3 linked regions of the Arabidopsis thaliana genome follow. The protein of the gene in region 2 purifies or fractionates together with the protein of the main gene of each other region. This does not show direct contact. Each region holds a gene or a part of one and is shown on either strand. Other genes may lie near its edges. The genes, in order: AT3G23390, BCE2 and AT4G14320.

What was found.
Region 1: the proteins of BCE2 (region 2) and AT3G23390 fractionate together in Arabidopsis thaliana (co-fractionation; one large-scale study listed by BioGRID). This does not show direct contact.
Region 3: the proteins of BCE2 (region 2) and AT4G14320 fractionate together in Arabidopsis thaliana (co-fractionation; one large-scale study listed by BioGRID). This does not show direct contact.

The regions. Positions count from the first base shown.
Region 1 is NC_003074.8:8,373,167-8,378,460, forward strand, and holds AT3G23390 (Zinc-binding ribosomal protein family protein), read left to right. Parts: upstream 1-2,166; 5' UTR 2,167-2,260; coding exon 2,261-2,263; intron 2,264-2,480; coding exon 2,481-2,660; intron 2,661-2,838; coding exon 2,839-2,913; intron 2,914-2,998; coding exon 2,999-3,058; 3' UTR 3,059-3,270; downstream 3,271-5,294. Other genes in the region: RIC5 (ROP-interactive CRIB motif-containing protein 5), read left to right, coding at 781-838, 932-1,032, 1,120-1,542; FIB4 (Plastid-lipid associated protein PAP / fibrillin family protein), read right to left, coding at 3,470-3,684, 3,775-3,901, 4,390-4,626, 4,784-5,059.
Region 2 is NC_003074.8:2,156,204-2,163,374, reverse strand, and holds BCE2 (2-oxoacid dehydrogenases acyltransferase family protein), read left to right. Parts: upstream 1-2,705; 5' UTR 2,706-2,784; exon of another isoform or gene 2,785-2,892; 5' UTR 2,893-2,909; coding exon 2,910-3,059; intron 3,060-3,306; coding exon 3,307-3,453; intron 3,454-3,547; coding exon 3,548-3,673; intron 3,674-3,874; coding exon 3,875-4,224; intron 4,225-4,308; coding exon 4,309-4,556; intron 4,557-4,650; coding exon 4,651-4,967; intron 4,968-5,049; coding exon 5,050-5,163; 3' UTR 5,164-5,444; downstream 5,445-7,171. Other genes in the region: MFP2 (multifunctional protein 2), read right to left, coding at 1-82, 165-220, 423-504, 592-659, 753-809, 906-971, 1,079-1,150, 1,347-1,449; AT3G06840 (uncharacterized protein), read right to left, coding at 5,751-6,227, 6,359-6,445. UniProt on the Arabidopsis thaliana protein: The branched-chain alpha-keto dehydrogenase complex catalyzes the overall conversion of alpha-keto acids to acyl-CoA and CO(2).
Region 3 is NC_003075.7:8,240,146-8,246,764, forward strand, and holds AT4G14320 (Zinc-binding ribosomal protein family protein), read right to left. Parts: upstream 3,766-6,619; 5' UTR 3,661-3,765; coding exon 3,658-3,660; intron 3,087-3,657; coding exon 2,907-3,086; intron 2,758-2,906; coding exon 2,683-2,757; intron 2,599-2,682; coding exon 2,577-2,598; coding exon of another isoform or gene 2,539-2,576; exon of another isoform or gene 2,285-2,538; intron 1,881-2,284; coding exon 1,696-1,880; 3' UTR 1,587-1,695; downstream 1-1,586. Other genes in the region: AT4G14310 (Transducin/WD40 repeat-like superfamily protein), read right to left, coding at 1-179; AT4G14315 (uncharacterized protein), read left to right, coding at 849-1,028; AT4G14330 (P-loop containing nucleoside triphosphate hydrolases superfamily protein), read left to right, coding at 4,083-4,691, 4,768-4,923, 5,015-5,122, 5,212-5,322, 5,423-6,619.

The sequences.
Region 1 (5,294 bases), 6.2 Mb from region 2:
GCAAACTATTTTGCTCAATAAGATGATTAGAGATTTACTTTTGGCTTTCCCTAAACAAAAAAACCGTATATCCCGCGTTTGCCAGAAAAAAAACGACTCAAAATCAGCTTAAAATAGAATTGAAGAAATTGCATTGAAACCACCAAATAAGGGAAAATCTTCTGGCTATCCTTTGACTTCCAACTTCTACATCCAATAATCATCCGCCACGTAGCTTTTATGCATATGTAAAAAAGAAATAGGCAAGAAAAAAAGAGAGCCTTTGTGATCGAACAAAGAGGACAACATTTGAGATTTCTTTCTTCTTACGTTACCTCTCTCTTAAACAAAACAAGAAACAAGATAACAACACAAATAAGTTTGAGAAAAAAACTTTTTGATTTGAAGATAGTAACATTTTGTGTAGTTTTCTTAACCAGGTATCATTTTCTTCTTCTCCAAACAGAAATAGATGTGTGTGTTTTTTATCTTATCGTTTGTTTATATATTCCTCTCAAATTTGCAGAAACTCATAGCTCTTGGACATCTATATGAATCTATTTCTTTGTTAAATAGGGTTTTATCTACTCCACAAACATGTAAGTTCTTTTTTATTTTTCTTAAGATTCTTATCGCAATAGGATTCACGCAAAAACAATTTAATTCTTTGGCCAATCTATGCATTACCGAAAGTTGTATCCCTAAGAGAAGAAGAATCTCAAAGAAAAAATATTAATTTATGAAAAAATGTTTATTTTTTTTCCTTGGTGTGCAAGCTAGGTATGCATCTGCAAGTTGAATATGACCTCACCTATGAAGGGTCTATTAAAAGGTTTGAGGTACATTGCTCGTATCTTCGGTGAGTTTATTTGTTCTCGAAACAAAGATCATATATGTCTATACAATTACCAAAAATCAGATTCTTAAATCTTATAAAAAAAAATTGTTGTAGAGGATGAGAAGGAACCAGAGATGCAGATTGGAATACCAACCGATGTCAAACATGTTGCTCATATAGGATGGGAAGGGCCCTCAGCTACCACCCCAAGCTGGGTATATCCTTCTCTCAATATTTTTATAACATATTCTACATATCTTTTGTTTGTGGATTAGGTCAAATATTTTCATGGGAATATGCAGATGCATGATTTCAAGCCTACCGATCAAACGAAGACTGAGACGAAAGGAACATCTAACAAAAAACCTGGGAGTTCCGGGGAGAAACATAGGAAGGGAAGACGTAAAACATCAACAGGAAACAACTCACCTACAGAATCTCCATCAAGGGTAGGAGGATCAGTAAGGCCATCAAAACGCAACACGGGGAAACAAAGAGAGCAGAACACGGGTTCAGGGTCAGAGTCAGGTTCAGGATTAGAGTTACCTCAACAGACTGATCAGTTTGTTGTACCAAAACAATCAAAGCAAAAAAAGTCAAAAGGATCAGCAACAGGAGGAGGCGAACCTCCTCCATCTAATGAACCATCAAACAAGAAAGAAACAGATATATCTGTGAGAGCGGTTTACCCTTGTGCGGGTCTTGGAAGTTCTACAGGAAGATGAAAGATGAGGAACAAAGAAAGAGAGTGTTATATTTTCAAGATTAGACTAGAGTGTGGTGGTGGTGGTGGTATTGTTTCTTCTCATGATTGATCTACACACTTTAGTCTTTTCTCTCCCTTTTGTTGGAAATGCCTTTGCATTACAAGACCAATGTTTTATATCGCGTCGAGAAAAGAGAACCCTTTGATGATTGTGAACCAGGGATGTGAAATATATGCTTGCTTAACACTCTTAAATTATTCTCAAGGAATCTTTCGATTGTGTTCTTAGGATTCAATTAGTAATAGACTTGAGTGTGTTTGACATATCTATTGGGCTTCGATTGTTTGTTGCGTTTACATGTTATAATAGGTTTTTATTTCTTGGTTCAAACGAAACCAAAACTTAAAAGTAAATCATTTTTTTCTACTGAATTTTGTTTTTGATGCTTTTGATTTCATTTGATCACTTCAACTTTAGTTCCAGGGTCTTGACGATTTAATTCAAAAAGCAAAAAAATCAATAGGAAACAAAAACTCATAAAGGACTTTGACATACAGATGGGCCCATTGTTTATGACCAATCCTTATACTATATATGGGCCTTATTAGTTAAACCTAAGGCCCAAAGTCAGATTAGGGTTTTCAGAAAGTGTACTATAAATTCTTCTTCTTTAAACAACTTCGTCTAGTGGAACGACGACGGCACAAAAGCTTCACCGGAGATCAGAGACGCGAAAATGGTAAATTGTTTCTTCTCTTTCGATGTGATTTTGGAATTTGTAAAGTTCGTTGACTTTGAAGAACAACAATACATGGTTGATTGATTTATTGTATTGTTTTTCAGATCTATCATAAAAGTTTTCAATCTAAATGATGTTTGTATTTTGATTAACCTTAAAAGTCTCTTGATTTTGTATGTGTGTGAGTGATTCATTTTTGATTTTATGAATTTTGAAGGTGAACATTCCAAAGACAAAGAACACTTACTGTAAGAACAAGGAATGCAAAAAGCATACTTTGCACAAGGTTACCCAATACAAGAAGGGTAAAGACAGTCTTGCTGCTCAAGGAAAGCGTCGTTATGACCGTAAACAATCTGGTTATGGTGGTCAGACTAAGCCTGTCTTCCACAAAAAGGTAACATTGATTATCATGCATTGATTGTTTTTTCAGTTTGAATTAGGTCTAGTTAGTTGAAATGAGGTAGTTTTAAGGAACCATTTATAGTAGAATTTTGGAAGTGAGCTGTGAGGAAACAGACATTCCAATAGTCTCAGTTTTGGACTGAGATACATCTTGTGAATCTTGTTAACAGGCTAAGACCACGAAGAAGATTGTTTTGAGGCTTCAGTGTCAAAGCTGCAAGCACTTTTCGCAGCGTCCTATCAAGGTGCATAGAACATAGATCAGTTCATTATACCGGATTTGTAACTTGGTAATTTGCTTACATTGTGTTGGTTTGTTGTTTATTTCAGAGGTGCAAGCATTTCGAGATCGGTGGTGACAAGAAGGGAAAGGGAACATCTCTGTTTTAAGTTGGTTTCATCTTATTTTCTGCGATTTTTGTACTTGCTGGATTTGGAATCCATTTGTTTTAGCTCTCTCGTATAAGATTGTCTCATCTTTGCTTGTTAACTCTATATTTTGAATCATCAAGATATGGTTTTGCTGTTAATCATTGACCTTCGATATTTTTTTGCCAATCCGTTCTCTCTACCAACCTAAGAAAAAATCACTAATATCTCACATTAGAGGGTGCAAAATTTGGAAGGTCTATATCATTGTCCAATTTTCTGAGTCATACAAATTCTTTCATATGATTCATTGAACAAGACACTCATTTACTTATAAAGCGCATTTATATGTTCACATGATTTGTACAAAACTCATGAGACTGCATCAAGCAGAAAGTATTTATTTATCTTTACATGTCAAAGCTTTGAGAATTAAGCAATGACGAATACCCTAAGTTCACCTCTGTCCCCGCGAGTTATGCGCATGGTATCATCAACATAGGTAACTTCGAAATCCCCAGTTCCAGGGTTTGACGATGGTCTGAAACTGTCGGGAAGCCTCGGGATATCAAACGGAGGAATCTGCGACAAGTTTCCCGATGTCTTCACAGTTGTTTTCTCAAATGTTATCTTGATCTTGCAAGTGCCTGTTTTCCCCATAAATGTCAAAGATACAGATAAGTTATTTTGCTCTTACACAATTCGATAAACTTAATGAGAGAAAGGGAAATGCAAACCTAAGAGTTCAAACTTGTGTGCCAATGTCGCAGTGGCTTCTAATGGCGGAAATGGCCAAGGGGCTCCTAATTCCACCTCTGCTATGTTATCAAAATCTTTGCTAAACACATCAATCCGTTGAAACACCTGTTTTAATGATTCAGAAACAAGAGATAATATTAAAGAAGTTTGCTTTCTACCGATTCAGGTATGGTTCTTTGCCAAATTTAAACCAAAGAAAGCTAGATTCTAAGCTCATCACCATTCAAACTCAACCAAGAATAAAGATGATTGACTAAGACCGTACACATAAACTTGGCAATATAGAAAAAAATGATTAAGGAGTAGATGACATTGCTAGATTCTAAGCTCCTCACCATTCAAGCTCAACAAAGACTACCAATGATAGACCAGACCGTACACATAAACTTGACAATATAGAAAAAAGTTTGCTTTCGAGTATAAGATGACATTACCAAATTGTAACCTCAGAAAGCTAGATTCTTAGCTCAGCCCCATTCAAACTCAAGCAAGACTATTGATGATAGACTAGACCATGCACATAAACTCCTCAACAACTTACCCGAAAAACCGAATCTTGACGGGTAAAAACAGAGCAATGATTCAAGAATTACCTGGCCAAGAGTAACAGGGATCAAACGTCCAGTAGGTAGACCAGGACGGCTACCACCTAAAGACCGAGAAGAGAACGCACTACTATACAACAGCCTCCATTTCCCTTGAAGCTTATCAAGATCATCGGTTAAATCAACCGGTCCCCCAGCAGTTTCAAGTTCTTTAGCAGCCACTTCAGCTCTTTCTAAATCATCAACACTCGCCACAAGTCCTCTGTTTAATCCCGAAACTACACTCTGCAATTTCTCACAACACAACACATCACAAATCAAATCTGAAAAATCTTCCCAAAATTCACTCTATAATCGAATCTTAACAGTAATATAAACCCTAATTCCAAAGAAACGAAACCAATTTCTTATAATTTCACCGATTGGTTTGAATCAGACTCACAAGTAATTTGAGTTTGAGTAATGCAATTTGCTTGTCGTCTCCTCCTGATCCAGATGATGATGGTGGTGGGTCACTTTCTCCGCCAATGGATACTTCAACGAGAGACGAATTAGCAGCGAGGTTTCTCTTCTCCGGTACAGTGAAACCCAAACGAGACGATTTTGGAGTAGTTAAGGGAGAAAAGGAGTATCTGATGGATGGTGGAGGAGAACGGTGGTCGGAAAGAAGAGCTGGTGGTGAAGGTAGTAGTGACGAGAAAGTAGAAGAAGTCGCCATTGTTGAGAAGGAAAAAAAAACGAAGAGAGTGAGATAATTTGTAGAGAAGAAGAAGAAGAAGAAGACTTTAATTATTATGTGATTTGAGAAGCACCACGGGTTATTAGCGCGTATACGTGTGTGCGTAAACGAAATTGCATATTACTTTCTGAGTAAAATGATGTCGTTTTGTGCCACAAAATTTTAATTTGCTTTGGTTGTATTATTATGGACCATATGCAGTACTTTGATTTTA
Region 2 (7,171 bases):
TGGTTACTAACTCCGCAGGTGGCACCACAGCATCAATAAGACCCAAAGAATGACCTTCCTCAGCTTTAACTGGCTTAGATGTCTATATGTTTCAACAAAAGAGATGCTATTACACTTTAACCAAGGCACGCTAATGCTACCATAAGAATAAGGCACTGACATACCAAAATCATTTCAAGGGCTTTGGTGAGACCAACAAGACGCGGGAGACGCTGCGTTCCTACATCAATCCAAAGGAGTATAATTAGCATTATAAACGAAAGTGACTTGACTCATTCAACAAAAAAAATGAAACGAAGATCCTCTTCCCATCCTCAGCTCAGTATTATGCATTGAGAATGCCTTGACTTCTCCACGAGTTTTAAACCATATATTGATCAGAGAATTCAAGGACTTCACAGTCAGCGAAGTTGAATAGATACCTCCAAAACCAGGAATAACACCAAGTTGCAGCTCAGGCAAGCCTAACTGTGCAGCAGGAGCTGATATCCTAGCATGACAAGCCTGGAAACAAACCATACAACTGTATCACCATCCTTCCTCCTCAAAAGGATTTCTCGTGAAGGTAATAAATAACATAGAAACTCATACCATAGCAAGTTCTAATCCTCCTCCCAAGGCAAGTCCATCAATGGCAGCGACAGACGGTTTCCTAGCAGCTAAATCCAAGGAAAGAAATCAAATCCCTCAGCAACACAACTTACACAAGTATTCCATAAATCAAATAAAGTGGGTTTAAGTAGAAAGATCACCTTCAAGCAAGTCGGTTATGATGTCAATCGAAATGTAACCAGCCTTTGGCTCTTTGACTGAGAAAATTCATAACACCAGTATACGTTACTAACTAGATCAACACATACCACACTGATTCAATAACCAAAGATACAAAAGAGACAGAAACATACCATTCCCCTTCTGCATTTCACCAAAACCAGATATATCAAAGCCACCAGAGAACCTCCCCTTTGCACCTGTAGTTAAATAAAAAGGAACACAAAAGCCATTACCAGATCATCTCCAAAGTTTTCATAAAAAATGTTGTGTTTTTAGCGAGGAAGAGAATGATCTCCAGAAATACCAGTAATAACAATAGCTTTAACATCATTCCTGCTCAAGGCCTCCTCGTAATTACTTTTGAGATTGTATAGCACTGTACACAAATATCCAAAAACAGAGTCACATACAAAGAAAATTCACATAAACAGATCATAAATTCGATCGGAAGCTCAATTACAATCGGCGATATTTACAAAACCAAATCACGAAGCGAAATTGACCTAAATCTGAAGAGGTAAAATCCAGTAAATTCCGGATCATAAAAATAAAATGAATCTGAGAGTACGTACCGTCGAAGGATAGAGAATTGACGGGAGGATTGATGAGTGTTATGACGGCAACGCCATCGCCACCAACTTCCATCACCGTCTTCCCCTTGGTTCGTGAATCCATTTTCGAGCTTCGTTGAGATTTTGCGAGTCAAAATTTTCGGAATTAATGAAAAAGAGAGGAGACGTGAGAAATCAGATGATTATATAATTGCAAAAGATGATGACGTCAGTGATAATATGGTAGAGTGGCACACTCCTCAAAGCAACGGTACTTTGATAATGTTTTCGATATGTGAATTTTTATTTGTTATTCGTATCCAATTTATGTATAAGTTGAATTAATCACGAATTAGGAACAAAATATTTGCATTTAAACTCTGCGGATTTATTACTAATAAATATGTTTGGCTGGTCATAGTCCTGCGACTACCAAACTTGGCGGATCTTATCTTGATACTACGGATTTGTAACTAAGCGACCCTATATAGGATTTTACAGTTGTAAATAAACTTTACTAGAAAGAGTATCTCTTTTTTTTTTTAACATTATTAGTTTTTTTTTTTTGCGATTTATTTATGACATATAATCGATCATGCTGAATATTATATCTTGTAATATATGTTAATTCTACCATGACATCCGTTTTTTGTTTAATCAGATTAAAAAACAAATGTAAATGCAATCAATAGTTTTAGACAAGTATTCAAACCATAACTTGTTTTTTATTCTCTCTATTTATGGTCCGGTGAAATATCTTTTCACATGACTAAGTATCAACTTTCATACAGTTAACCATAACAGTAATAAAACGTCTAAAACTTAAGACTTCACTAACAATGATGGATTTGCTTAAAACTTAAAGGACGTAAACGAATATCTTCCAAGATCAAAGACGGTTGGCAAAACTCAAAAGACAAAAGACGTAAGTTAGATGTAATTTTGGGTTGGTAGGTAGCTCACTTTCCAAAGATAATGTTAGGCGTTTAGTGATGAAATAGATTGTATTTTGGAAGTAGCCTCACATTCACATCTCTAACTTGTTTGTTCATTTTTAATTGTTCAAACTTCAAAGTGTAACAAAGAATAATCAAGTGCAATCTTATGTTGGTTAAGGTTATCTTTCTTGCTTTAATGAATTCTGTCTATGAGAAAAGTGTGTCCACTTTGTAAGTCTGGCCTTTTGGCATTTTTCTTTTCGGCTTTAGTGGATCTGCTTGTAAAAGGCTTTTTTTGAAGTCGATATATATAGCCCACCATCTGAAGGAAAAAAAAAAAGTGATGTACATGAGGATACGCGTGTACCGTTGATCCTCTCCGTGATATTGCTGATGTGGCATAGATAAGCCAATCCGATAGTTTTTTTTCTCTTTTTCTTTTGGTACTAATCCAAATAGTTATTAATACTAATCAGTACCTTAGTCTTAATCCGGATACTCGAACAGAAACAAACACACGGGTACGTAACATTTATCTTTTTAAGCTCTCTTCTTAGAAACATCTTCCATCAACTCAATCTGTTTGTCTATTTCTTCTCCCTTGTACTGTTTTTTGTTTTTTACCAAAGACCAACCGTTCATAACAATGATCGCGCGACGGATCTGGCGAAGCCACCGGTTTCTCCGCCCATTCAGCTCGTCATCTGTTTGCTCTCCGCCGTTCCGGGTACCGGAGTATCTTTCTCAGTCGTCTTCCTCTCCGGCGTCGCGCCCATTCTTTGTTCACCCTCCCACTGTATGTTTCTTCTCACCAAATTTCCTTCCTTTTTCAGTTTTTTTTTTCAAATTAATTTTGAGGCATGACATTAGCTTCCGAGAAGCTCTTCTAGGCGGAAAAAGAAACATCGAAACTGTATAAATTTAGAAAGAAAATAAATTTATCAGAGAGACTTAAACTTGGAAAACTCTGTTTGCTTAGAATGTGTGGTTTTTCTGGTAATTTTTGGACAAAGGATCAAACAAGTTTGTCATATTTTTCACAGTTGATGAAATGGGGTGGAGGAAGTAGAAGCTGGTTTTCGAACGAAGCCATGGCCACTGATTCAAATTCAGGGTTAATTGATGTGCCACTAGCTCAAACTGGGGAAGGTATTGCTGAATGTGAGCTTCTCAAGTGGTTTGTCAAAGAGGTCTCTTTGGTTTCTCCGCTCAAAGTTTCTTTTTTTCAATTGTTCTGTTTCGTTTCGTTATGATATAGACATTTTGGTGTTTTTCCTTTTGCAGGGAGATTCTGTGGAAGAGTTTCAGCCACTCTGTGAAGTTCAGAGCGATAAAGCAACTATAGAGATCACAAGTCGTTTTAAAGGGAAAGTGGCTCTGATTTCACATTCTCCAGGTGACATTATTAAGGTTAGATACATTTTCTTTCTTTATGGTGTTAGAGGCTAAGTTTGAGCATGTTACTCTATTGTAAACCATGAACACTAAGAGATTTTGACATGTTAAGCTTTTGTGTTATCTATATATATATGTTTAAAGGTTCTGATAGATCAGGTATCAAATGTTTCACTTTTATAAGTACTTATATGTGGCAAAATCTATTGATGCAAGGTTGGAGAGACTCTGGTTAGGTTGGCGGTTGAAGACTCGCAGGATTCGCTTCTAACCACTGATAGTTCAGAAATTGTAACTCTGGGAGGTTCAAAGCAGGGAACAGAAAATCTTCTTGGAGCTCTCTCAACGCCTGCGGTTCGTAACCTTGCAAAAGACCTTGGCATAGATATCAATGTTATAACTGGAACTGGTAAAGATGGTAGAGTTTTGAAAGAGGATGTTCTCCGGTTTAGTGACCAGAAAGGATTTGTAACAGATTCAGTTTCTTCTGAGCATGCTGTTATAGGAGGAGACTCGGTTTCCACTAAAGCTAGTAGTAACTTTGAAGATAAAACAGTTCCTCTAAGGTACGCCTTTGTTGGCAATTTGCATTGTACATGAACCCATCTTGTATCTGAATTAACCACCTGAAGCTATATCCTTATTCTCAGGGGATTCAGCCGAGCAATGGTCAAGACAATGACTATGGCTACAAGTGTACCGCATTTTCATTTTGTTGAAGAGATAAACTGCGACTCACTTGTGGAGCTCAAGCAGTTCTTCAAAGAGAACAATACAGATTCCACCATCAAACACACTTTTCTTCCTACTTTAATCAAGTCTCTGTCAATGGCTCTAACCAAATATCCCTTCGTGAATAGTTGCTTCAACGCGGAATCTCTCGAGATCATTCTCAAAGGTATTTTTTTTCTAGGAACTTCTCATTGTTGTTTTGGTTTTGAGGTTAACATCCTTGGATTATTAGATATAGATATATTCTTGGTTACTTGCAGGTTCACATAATATTGGAGTTGCAATGGCCACTGAACATGGCCTTGTCGTTCCTAATATAAAGAATGTTCAGTCATTATCTCTGCTAGAGATAACCAAAGAGCTGTCCCGGTTACAACATTTGGCAGCAAACAACAAACTTAACCCCGAGGATGTGACTGGTGGAACCATAACTCTGAGTAACATTGGAGCAATTGGTGGTAAATTCGGATCCCCTCTTTTAAACTTACCGGAAGTTGCAATCATCGCTCTTGGAAGAATCGAGAAAGTTCCAAAATTCTCAAAAGAAGGAACTGTCTATCCTGCATCGATAATGATGGTAAAAGCTATTCTTGTTCATTCATTTCTTCTTAGTTACAAGAATTGTTGTTAATAACCAAGGTCTGATTATTTTGACTCAGGTTAACATTGCTGCGGATCATAGAGTTCTAGATGGGGCAACGGTAGCTCGGTTTTGCTGCCAGTGGAAAGAGTATGTCGAGAAACCGGAGCTGCTGATGCTTCAAATGAGATAAGAAGGAAAGGTTCATGTTTATTTGTGAATCATTATGTATGAAACCTTCATGTTCGAATAAGATCAAGAACTGAGCTAGCAGTTGTAAACTAAACAAGAAAGTAAAAGTCATATCTAATAACTCAACACAAAACTGCAACATATGAACACTAGCTAACCTCATAAGTCTTAACACGGAACGTTTTGTAAATAATGAAAATGTATTTATGAAGACGACACGTTAATTTCTTAAAAGGATCAACATTCGTATCTGTGTACTAAGGACTAACGTCTCTTTTCAAGACATTAATAATAAAGGAGTCGTGCAAGACAAAGGAATATCCACTCTTACCGGTTCCAGTCACTTTCGACCATCACGACTTGAAAAATCCAAATAATGATTATTCAGAAGTTGTTAAATACAAGCATGCATGTATCTATTATCTATAAAAAGAGGCAACTAAATTGATTCACGTGAGATAGATGAAACTTTGCAGCTTTCACCAAATTTTGAAAAGATAGATGAAACATCACATTTTTCTATTGAATATTTTTCCCCGACCAAAAAGAAAAGTTAAATTGTTCTTTTTGTAAGGAGTTGTTAACTTTTTACGTGACCAAGTAAATTGGGGAAGAAGAGATAGAAATCCTCTGTGGCTGCTCCATGTTAAGCTCTCGTAAGCTCAGATAAGGAATCGCCACGTCACCTTTCCTCGCCGGCGTCAATGTTCCCGCTATAGGTCCCGACGAAGGTTTACTCGTTGTTGTACGATACGGTGTGTTCGACCCACTTATTAGACTCTCCGTTGCGTAAATCGGACCCGACATTGACATGGACCCGGTTACGGAGCGAAAGTTCCTGACCCTACGATCTTCGTTCACGCCGACGGTGGAGATTGGCCATTTCCGCCATTTGAAAAAAGGGAGAGCTTTCTTCCACCAACACCGTTTCTTCTTCTTGTCGTTGTGCATTGTGGACCGGGTCGGGTTGTCTTTTGAAATGGGTTTCTGGATCTTGAATTGAAGACCGTTCGTGTATGATTTTGATGACGTTTCTCTCTTATGCTTCCTCGCTTCTTCCATAACCTTTCCATTAAGACATCAGAAACAGAGCCAAAATTACTCAAAAACAGAATGCAAATGCAGAGCCAGATCCATTGGATTTGAGTTTTGTTGATTTGAAACGAAACAAAACATTAGCAAAAACGTAAACATACCTGAAAGTAGTGGAGTTGGGGATCGAAGCCATAGTCGCTGAAATGTTGAGAGTTGGAGATGGAGAAGATTGGGGAAATGTTTGACATTTTTCTTACGAGGTCGTTTGTTGTTTAATGGAGGAAAAATGGGTGAAAGAGTTTTGTGAAGAAGAGATAGAAGAGAATGGAGATGGCCGTTGAGACTTGAAAGAGAGTGTGGGGTTCACTCAAATTCAATGCAACGAGAGTCGTCTATTCTGTCATTTTCAAACAACCCGTATTTTTCTAAGTTTTTTTTTTTTTTTTACTTTTATAAATGGCCCATACATGATAATTCATCTCCTTTTCAATTCCTTTTTTAGTCATTACAATTTTATCATTCGTCTTTACATTTCATACCACAAAAAAGAAAAATTAATCAATCATATCATATTCCAGTACCTAACGAATAACTAATTATACGTCTATATTTAACAATGCGAAAATAACTCTCCATATAACAATAAGCAGAAAAAGACACGTAAATGGTACTTACTGCATCGTACGCTATAAAGTCATGGTTTTAGTTCCCGAAGCGAGGAATGTTAATATGTTATTGTTTTCACCATTCAAACTTCAAAGACGAAGGGATTCAATATTGGATGTAGCCAGGCGCTCTCAATCTCGAAGGACGATACATGTGCATCACCATCACGTGAATCTATATAACACATGCATCTCCTAAATGTTTTAATTAATTAAAAACTCGTCAGTATTTATTTATATTATCCAATTAAAAGGCATTCAGATATTATAAGTAATCGTAATAAGTGCCTTATTCGTGTAACATTGAGA
Region 3 (6,619 bases), on a different chromosome or scaffold from region 2:
CTAAGCTTCGGATTCGGATTCTCTTTGCTGGATAATGATTTCTGAAGAGCGGGATTTGAATTTTTGCTTGAGATCGGAAGTGGAGTTACAGACCTCAATGGTTTTTTACCAGATGATGGATTTTCACCGGCGCCGGTGTTTATATCTTTTAGCCGGCGGCGATTCGTTGAAGCTGACATCTGCAAAATCGTAGGGTAAAATGATTTAGGATTTTGAAAAAAAAGTTTGGGGGAAAAATAAAAGCTTTTGATTTTTGAAGAAAAAGCACAAAACGATAAATGGAGGATATCACTACCGCAACTCCACAAGCCGACAAATTTATTAGAGTTTCAATTTCAAAATATTTGGGCGGGATTTCCAAAAAAAAAACTCAAAATTTTTGGAGATCGCGAATGTTCAAAAAGTCGATTGATTAACGAAACGCAGCGTTTAGGTAAATTTATTAAACACGTGATAGCAACAAATGCAGAACGCGACATTTTGAAACACGTGGCAGTGTAGAAATAGCGACACGAATTTTGTTAACTAAAACGCTGCGTTTTTAATAAAATATACAGTAACAGTTGAATAGTTGATTGCGACACGAAACGATGCGTTTAGGGTATGCTGTTTTTAAAACACGTGGCAGCAACAAATAAACCGAAACGCAGCGTTTTGAGGTGGTTATTAACGTGAAAGGTCTCGCCAGTTTTTGTGTTTCATGCATTAGTACACGAAACGTTGTCTTCTACTTCTCGGGGAAACGACACAACCGTAGATTTGATGTCTGAATCTGTGTATATATAACTTCTCCAATTAGAGACACTAACACAGAATTGATCACTACTCCTATCGAAAAGTAGACGAAAATGGCGAATGAGTATGGATTCGGGATGGGTTCGGTTTTGGCGATTGTTGTCGTTGCACTAATGTTACTGTTTGTTCCGTTGATGATGGGACCGGTGACTGCACCATCTCTTCCAATGATCTTGATGTTTCCGGTCGTATTGCTCTTTGTGTTTCTCTATCTCCATTTTACTTCCAAGTGATCAAACATCAAATCTCTTTCTATTATTATCGTGTAATATGCAGTACGTATTTATTTCGATAGTATTGCTCTTACGTTTTTGGTTATACATTTATAAAAACAAAAATTGTATTTGTTCTATTATATACAATATATCAATTGACTAACGCATGCGCAGTTGGTTTGGATCTCTATTGATTTGCAAGTAAATTTTTTGGATTTATCTTTCTTTCTCACTTCGTTTCTTACATTATTAGAGAATTTGACTTACATCGCGATGTATGTTTTACAAGCAAGTAGAATCGATGCCACTTTCCTTAGATATTAGCGTAGTAGACAATGTCAATGATCGAGAAATATACACAAAAGTACCTAACTTTTGTCAGCATGAACAGATTTGAATGATATTACGTAATTGTAGAGAAGAAACTTACCTTAAAATTAACACCTCTAAAAGGTAAGAATGTGTTAGTAGAAAATGGCTATTCATATTGTAAAATTAAAAGGCCGTATAATTAGTACAGAGGAATTCGACTTGGAAACAGAAAATTAGAGATTAAATAAAACACGAATTTTAAATAACGGAAATAAAACTTTAGTGTAAATTATCTATACCCATAATATATATAGTACCAGAATCTAAGTATAATAAAGTAAAAAAAGAAAAACTGAAGTAGCATCCTTGACCGTCACCACATCTTCCGCCGCTGGCTGCCTGGCTCCACCACCACCACTACTACATTCACCGGTTCATTGTCAATACCACCACCAACAGGTCCTTCTCCTCTATCACCACAGCAGCCAGGACCACCACAGCAGACACAAGAGAATATCATCTCATCTACCATTTTGCCCGCACAGCTCTCAATTAAAACTAACACAAAGGCCAAAACACATAGGACTATCATGGTAATATAAAAAGAGTTGTTCATGTTCTCTTTTGTGCAATAAGGAGCCAGGAAACATGTTCTTCTATTTATATAATTTGGTTTTATTGTAACACATTAGTTTCGGGTCAGCTAATGGCATGATTATCATATAGCCAAAATAGAACCTTCATTTTCCATTCACGTTGCGGGGAATATAGAACCACCAATATACCGAGGAGAAACTTCTGTATGCTCTTAAGAAATTTAGTGAAAGTTAGTATGGCTGAAGTTAAAAGAAGAAAACAAATAATATTTAGTATTATCAATTCATTTCTATACGTATATGTCATTTTAATTTGCCAAGCTCATATATAACACTGATTTGCAGCACAAAACGATAAATGATTTTTCGAGATCCGAAAATAGAAAGTGGTTTTTAGAACTTAAAGAGTGTTATGTCTACTTTGTCGCAAGTTATAGAGAATACTCAAGGGCAGCCTAATGAAGAAAGATTGGTTAACCAAATTAAAAGACATCCATAAGACCAAGTCCTATTTAAATTAAAAACCAGGACCATTTCTGGTAGATTCAAAGTATATCACAGTATTGAAGCAGGACAGGTACCAAACAAAACAAAAAAAAGTAGATAGATGAAACAACAACTTAAAAGAGAGATGTTCCCTTTCCCTTCTTGTCTCCACCGATCTCAAAGTGCTTGCACCTCTGCAAAAACCACACACAAAGTGTAAGAAACAGAACTGAGACTAAAGAGTGATTAACAAAGGTAAAGAATGTCGCAGACATTACCTTAATCGGGCGTTGCGAGAAATGCTTGCAGCTTTGGCATTGAAGCCTCAGCACAATCTTCTTAGTTGTCTTAGCCTGTTCCAAAGAAAGACAAATAATGAGCAAGGTCCAATTAACAAATCATTCCTATAAGACATATTTCACAGAGTCAATTCTGAAATCCTAAATTGGTTCTCACATAGAAGACAGTAATTAGAGATCAAGACAAGGAAAAGCGAGTATACCTTCTTGTGGAAGACGGGCTTGGTCTGACCTCCATAACCAGATTGTTTACGATCATAACGACGCTTTCCTTGGGCAGCAAGGCTATCTTTACCTTTCTTATACTGCGTCACCTTGTGCAAGGTATGCTTCTTGCACTCCTTGTTCTTGCAGTAAGTGTTCTTAGTTTTCGGAATGTTCACCTACAGAAAACCAAGTTTAAAACTACCACAAGATACAGTTTCAACAGCATACAGAATTAATTACGATCATAGAAGTGAATCTAAATACGCCCTTCAGAACAAACCCTAAAACTTGTTAATAAAATTTCCTGCTTCTCCTAAATCATTCAGAATTAATTGCTACCATACGATCTGACTACTCAACTAGTCAATATTGATAACCATTTTGTGAATCCTACAAGTCCCTGAAGTACAAATCCTTCTTAATTCTCCTAAAAATCAGAACAGAATTGCAGCAACACAAATGAAGATACATAACACTATATCATTTTGAATCTCTGGTAGATTGGAGCTAAAACTCTTCACAGAGACGAAGTGAACTGAATCTTCGAATTTACAACACAGAATGCAACATAACAGATTCTAAAAATCACAATTAGACTCTAATAATTCTCGATTTAAGATGCAAAATCAGAAATAAACAACTTAAAGAAGAAGAAAAATCACACAGCAGATCTATAATCAATAATCTCGTTCTTCAATAGTAACCAAGGAGAAATTTAGCAGAAATAAAGAAAGAGAAGAGAGTCACCATTTTCGCTCTTCGGTGAAGCTCGTGCCGTCGTCTTCCACTGCCGCAAAACCTTTAATAAAAACCTAAAGTAACAGAGCTTATAAGAGAGACATTTGAGAAAACCCTAATACTACAAACATTGGGCCTCTATAAACACAAAAAGCCCATTAACTTAATCAAAAAGTCAGGCCCATCTCACTTCCCTTTTTTAAAAGAAAGTAAATATATTCTAGTTGCCGAAAATAAAAATTGTTAATAATCAGTGGCCCGTGGACAAAAACTAGCCGTTTAGAGATACAACACAACGGTTATGTTTGTTTCTTTGTTTCAAACTTCAAACCTCGTGAATCACTCACAAACCCTAATCCCCTTTTTCATTTTCTCTCTCTCTAACGCTCTCTGAATCTCAATTTCAATTTCACTCTTTCGAAACTTCTTCAACAATGGCACCGACACCATCTTCTTCAAGATCAAATCAAACTCAATACACCTTAATCAGAACTCCACAAACAAAACAACGTCTCAATTTCCACTCAAAAACCCCAAACCCAGACGGATCTAAAGATCCATCTCCACCGGAGCATCCAGTTGAAGTAATCGGCCGGATCCGAGATTACCCTGACCGGAAAGAGAAATCACCTTCGATCTTACAAGTCAACACAGATAATCAAACGGTACGAGTCAGAGCTGATGTTGGGTACAGAGACTTCACACTCGACGGTGTTTCTTTCTCGGAGCAAGAAGGTCTTGAAGAGTTCTACAAGAAGTTTATAGAAGAGAGGATTAAAGGAGTGAAAGTTGGGAATAAATGCACGATTATGATGTATGGACCTACTGGTGCTGGAAAGAGTCATACTATGTTTGGTTGTGGGAAAGAGCCTGGGATTGTGTATCGTTCTTTGAGAGATATATTGGGAGATTCTGATCAAGATGGTGTTACTTTTGTTCAAGTTACTGTTCTTGAGGTTTATAATGAGGAGATTTATGATCTTCTTTCGACTAATAGTAGTAACAATTTAGGTATTGGTTGGCCTAAAGGAGCAAGCACTAAGGTAAAGTTTCTTGATTGATAACTTTAGTATACATTGAATTGGCTTTAAAGGTGTGTACTTTGTTGTTTTGTTACAGGTGAGGCTTGAAGTAATGGGGAAAAAGGCGAAAAACGCAAGTTTTATTTCTGGGACAGAGGCTGGGAAGATTTCTAAAGAAATTGTCAAAGTGGAGAAACGGAGAATTGTGAAGAGTACACTTTGTAACGAAAGAAGTTCTCGGAGTCACTGCATTGTAAGAACGATCTTCTTGATTGATGTGTATGCATAGCTTTATGCAGCTTATCTCTGTTTTAACTTACTAGTGTGGTTGTTTCTTTTTGTAGATCATACTTGATGTGCCAACTGTTGGGGGAAGATTGATGCTTGTTGACATGGCTGGTTCTGAAAATATAGACCAAGCTGGGCAGACTGGATTTGAAGCTAAGATGCAAGTAATGTTTCCTCTCTCAATTTGTTTGATTCTACTAAAGTTATTGTAGTTATGGATATCAACTGACTTATATCTCTCATTATTCAACAGACTGCTAAGATCAACCAGGGAAATATTGCACTGAAGCGAGTTGTGGAATCTATAGCAAATGGAGATTCTCATGTACCCTTTAGAGACAGCAAGCTGACCATGCTTCTCCAGGTGAAATTCTTGTTCCATTGTTTTATCTTCTGGAAAATGTTTTACGTGTTGCTTGGTTTTCTTGAAGATATTTAGTGTTGTTTCTATTCTCTGAATGCAGGACTCTTTTGAAGATGACAAGTCAAAGATTCTAATGATCCTGTGTGCGAGCCCGGATCCAAAGGAAATGCACAAGACTCTCTGTACTCTAGAGTATGGGGCAAAAGCAAAGTGCATAGTTCGTGGGTCTCATACTCCAAACAAAGATAAGTATGGGGGTGATGAGTCTGCTTCTGCTGTGATTTTGGGATCAAGAATAGCTGCCATGGATGAGTTCATTATCAAACTCCAGTCTGAGAAGAAGCAAAAAGAAAAAGAAAGGAATGAGGCACAAAAGCAGCTGAAGAAGAAGGAAGAGGAAGTTGCTGCTTTAAGATCTCTTTTAACACAGAGGGAAGCTTGTGCTACCAATGAAGAGGAGATAAAAGAGAAAGTAAACGAGAGAACCCAGCTTTTGAAGTCGGAACTAGATAAGAAACTTGAAGAATGCCGAAGAATGGCTGAGGAATTTGTTGAGATGGAGAGAAGGAGAATGGAGGAAAGGATAGTTCAGCAGCAAGAGGAACTGGAGATGATGAGGAGACGGTTAGAGGAAATCGAGGTTGAGTTCCGCCGCTCAAATGGAGGAAGTGTTGATGAAACTAGTGGGTTTGCCAAAAGACTCAGGAGTCTTTACTCTGATGATGATCCTGGTATGGTGAAGTCAATGGACCTTGACATGGGTGATCCAGAACCTGTCAAGCAAGTGTGGGGAGCTGTTTCACACCAATCAAGCAACACTATTAGTAGCAACTTCACTAACCTTTTGCAACCGAAGCCTTCAGAGAATATGCTTACACAGATGTATCCTGACCGGGTATGCTTGAGCACTGTCTTTGAAGAAGAAGAAGTTGAAGAAGAGGAAGAAAAAGTGATAGTCGAGGATAAAAGCATCTGCTTGATAACAACACCAATGCCTAGTTTGAACTCTGAAGGTTTGGGTAAAGAGAACTGCTTCAACGGTGCAGATGACAAGGAATCAGCCTCGTCTAGAAGGTTGAGAATTCAAAACATTTTCACCCTTTGTGGCAATCAGAGAGAGCTGTCTCAACACAGTGGACAGGAGGAGGATCAAGCCAATATTGCATCACCTGATAAGAAAGACAATCAGTTCTTTTCTATTACGAATAAGGCCGAAGCACTAGCAGTAGAAGAAGCAAAGGAAAACAATATCTCAGTCGATCAAAGGGAAAACGGTCAGCTAGATATCTATGTTAAA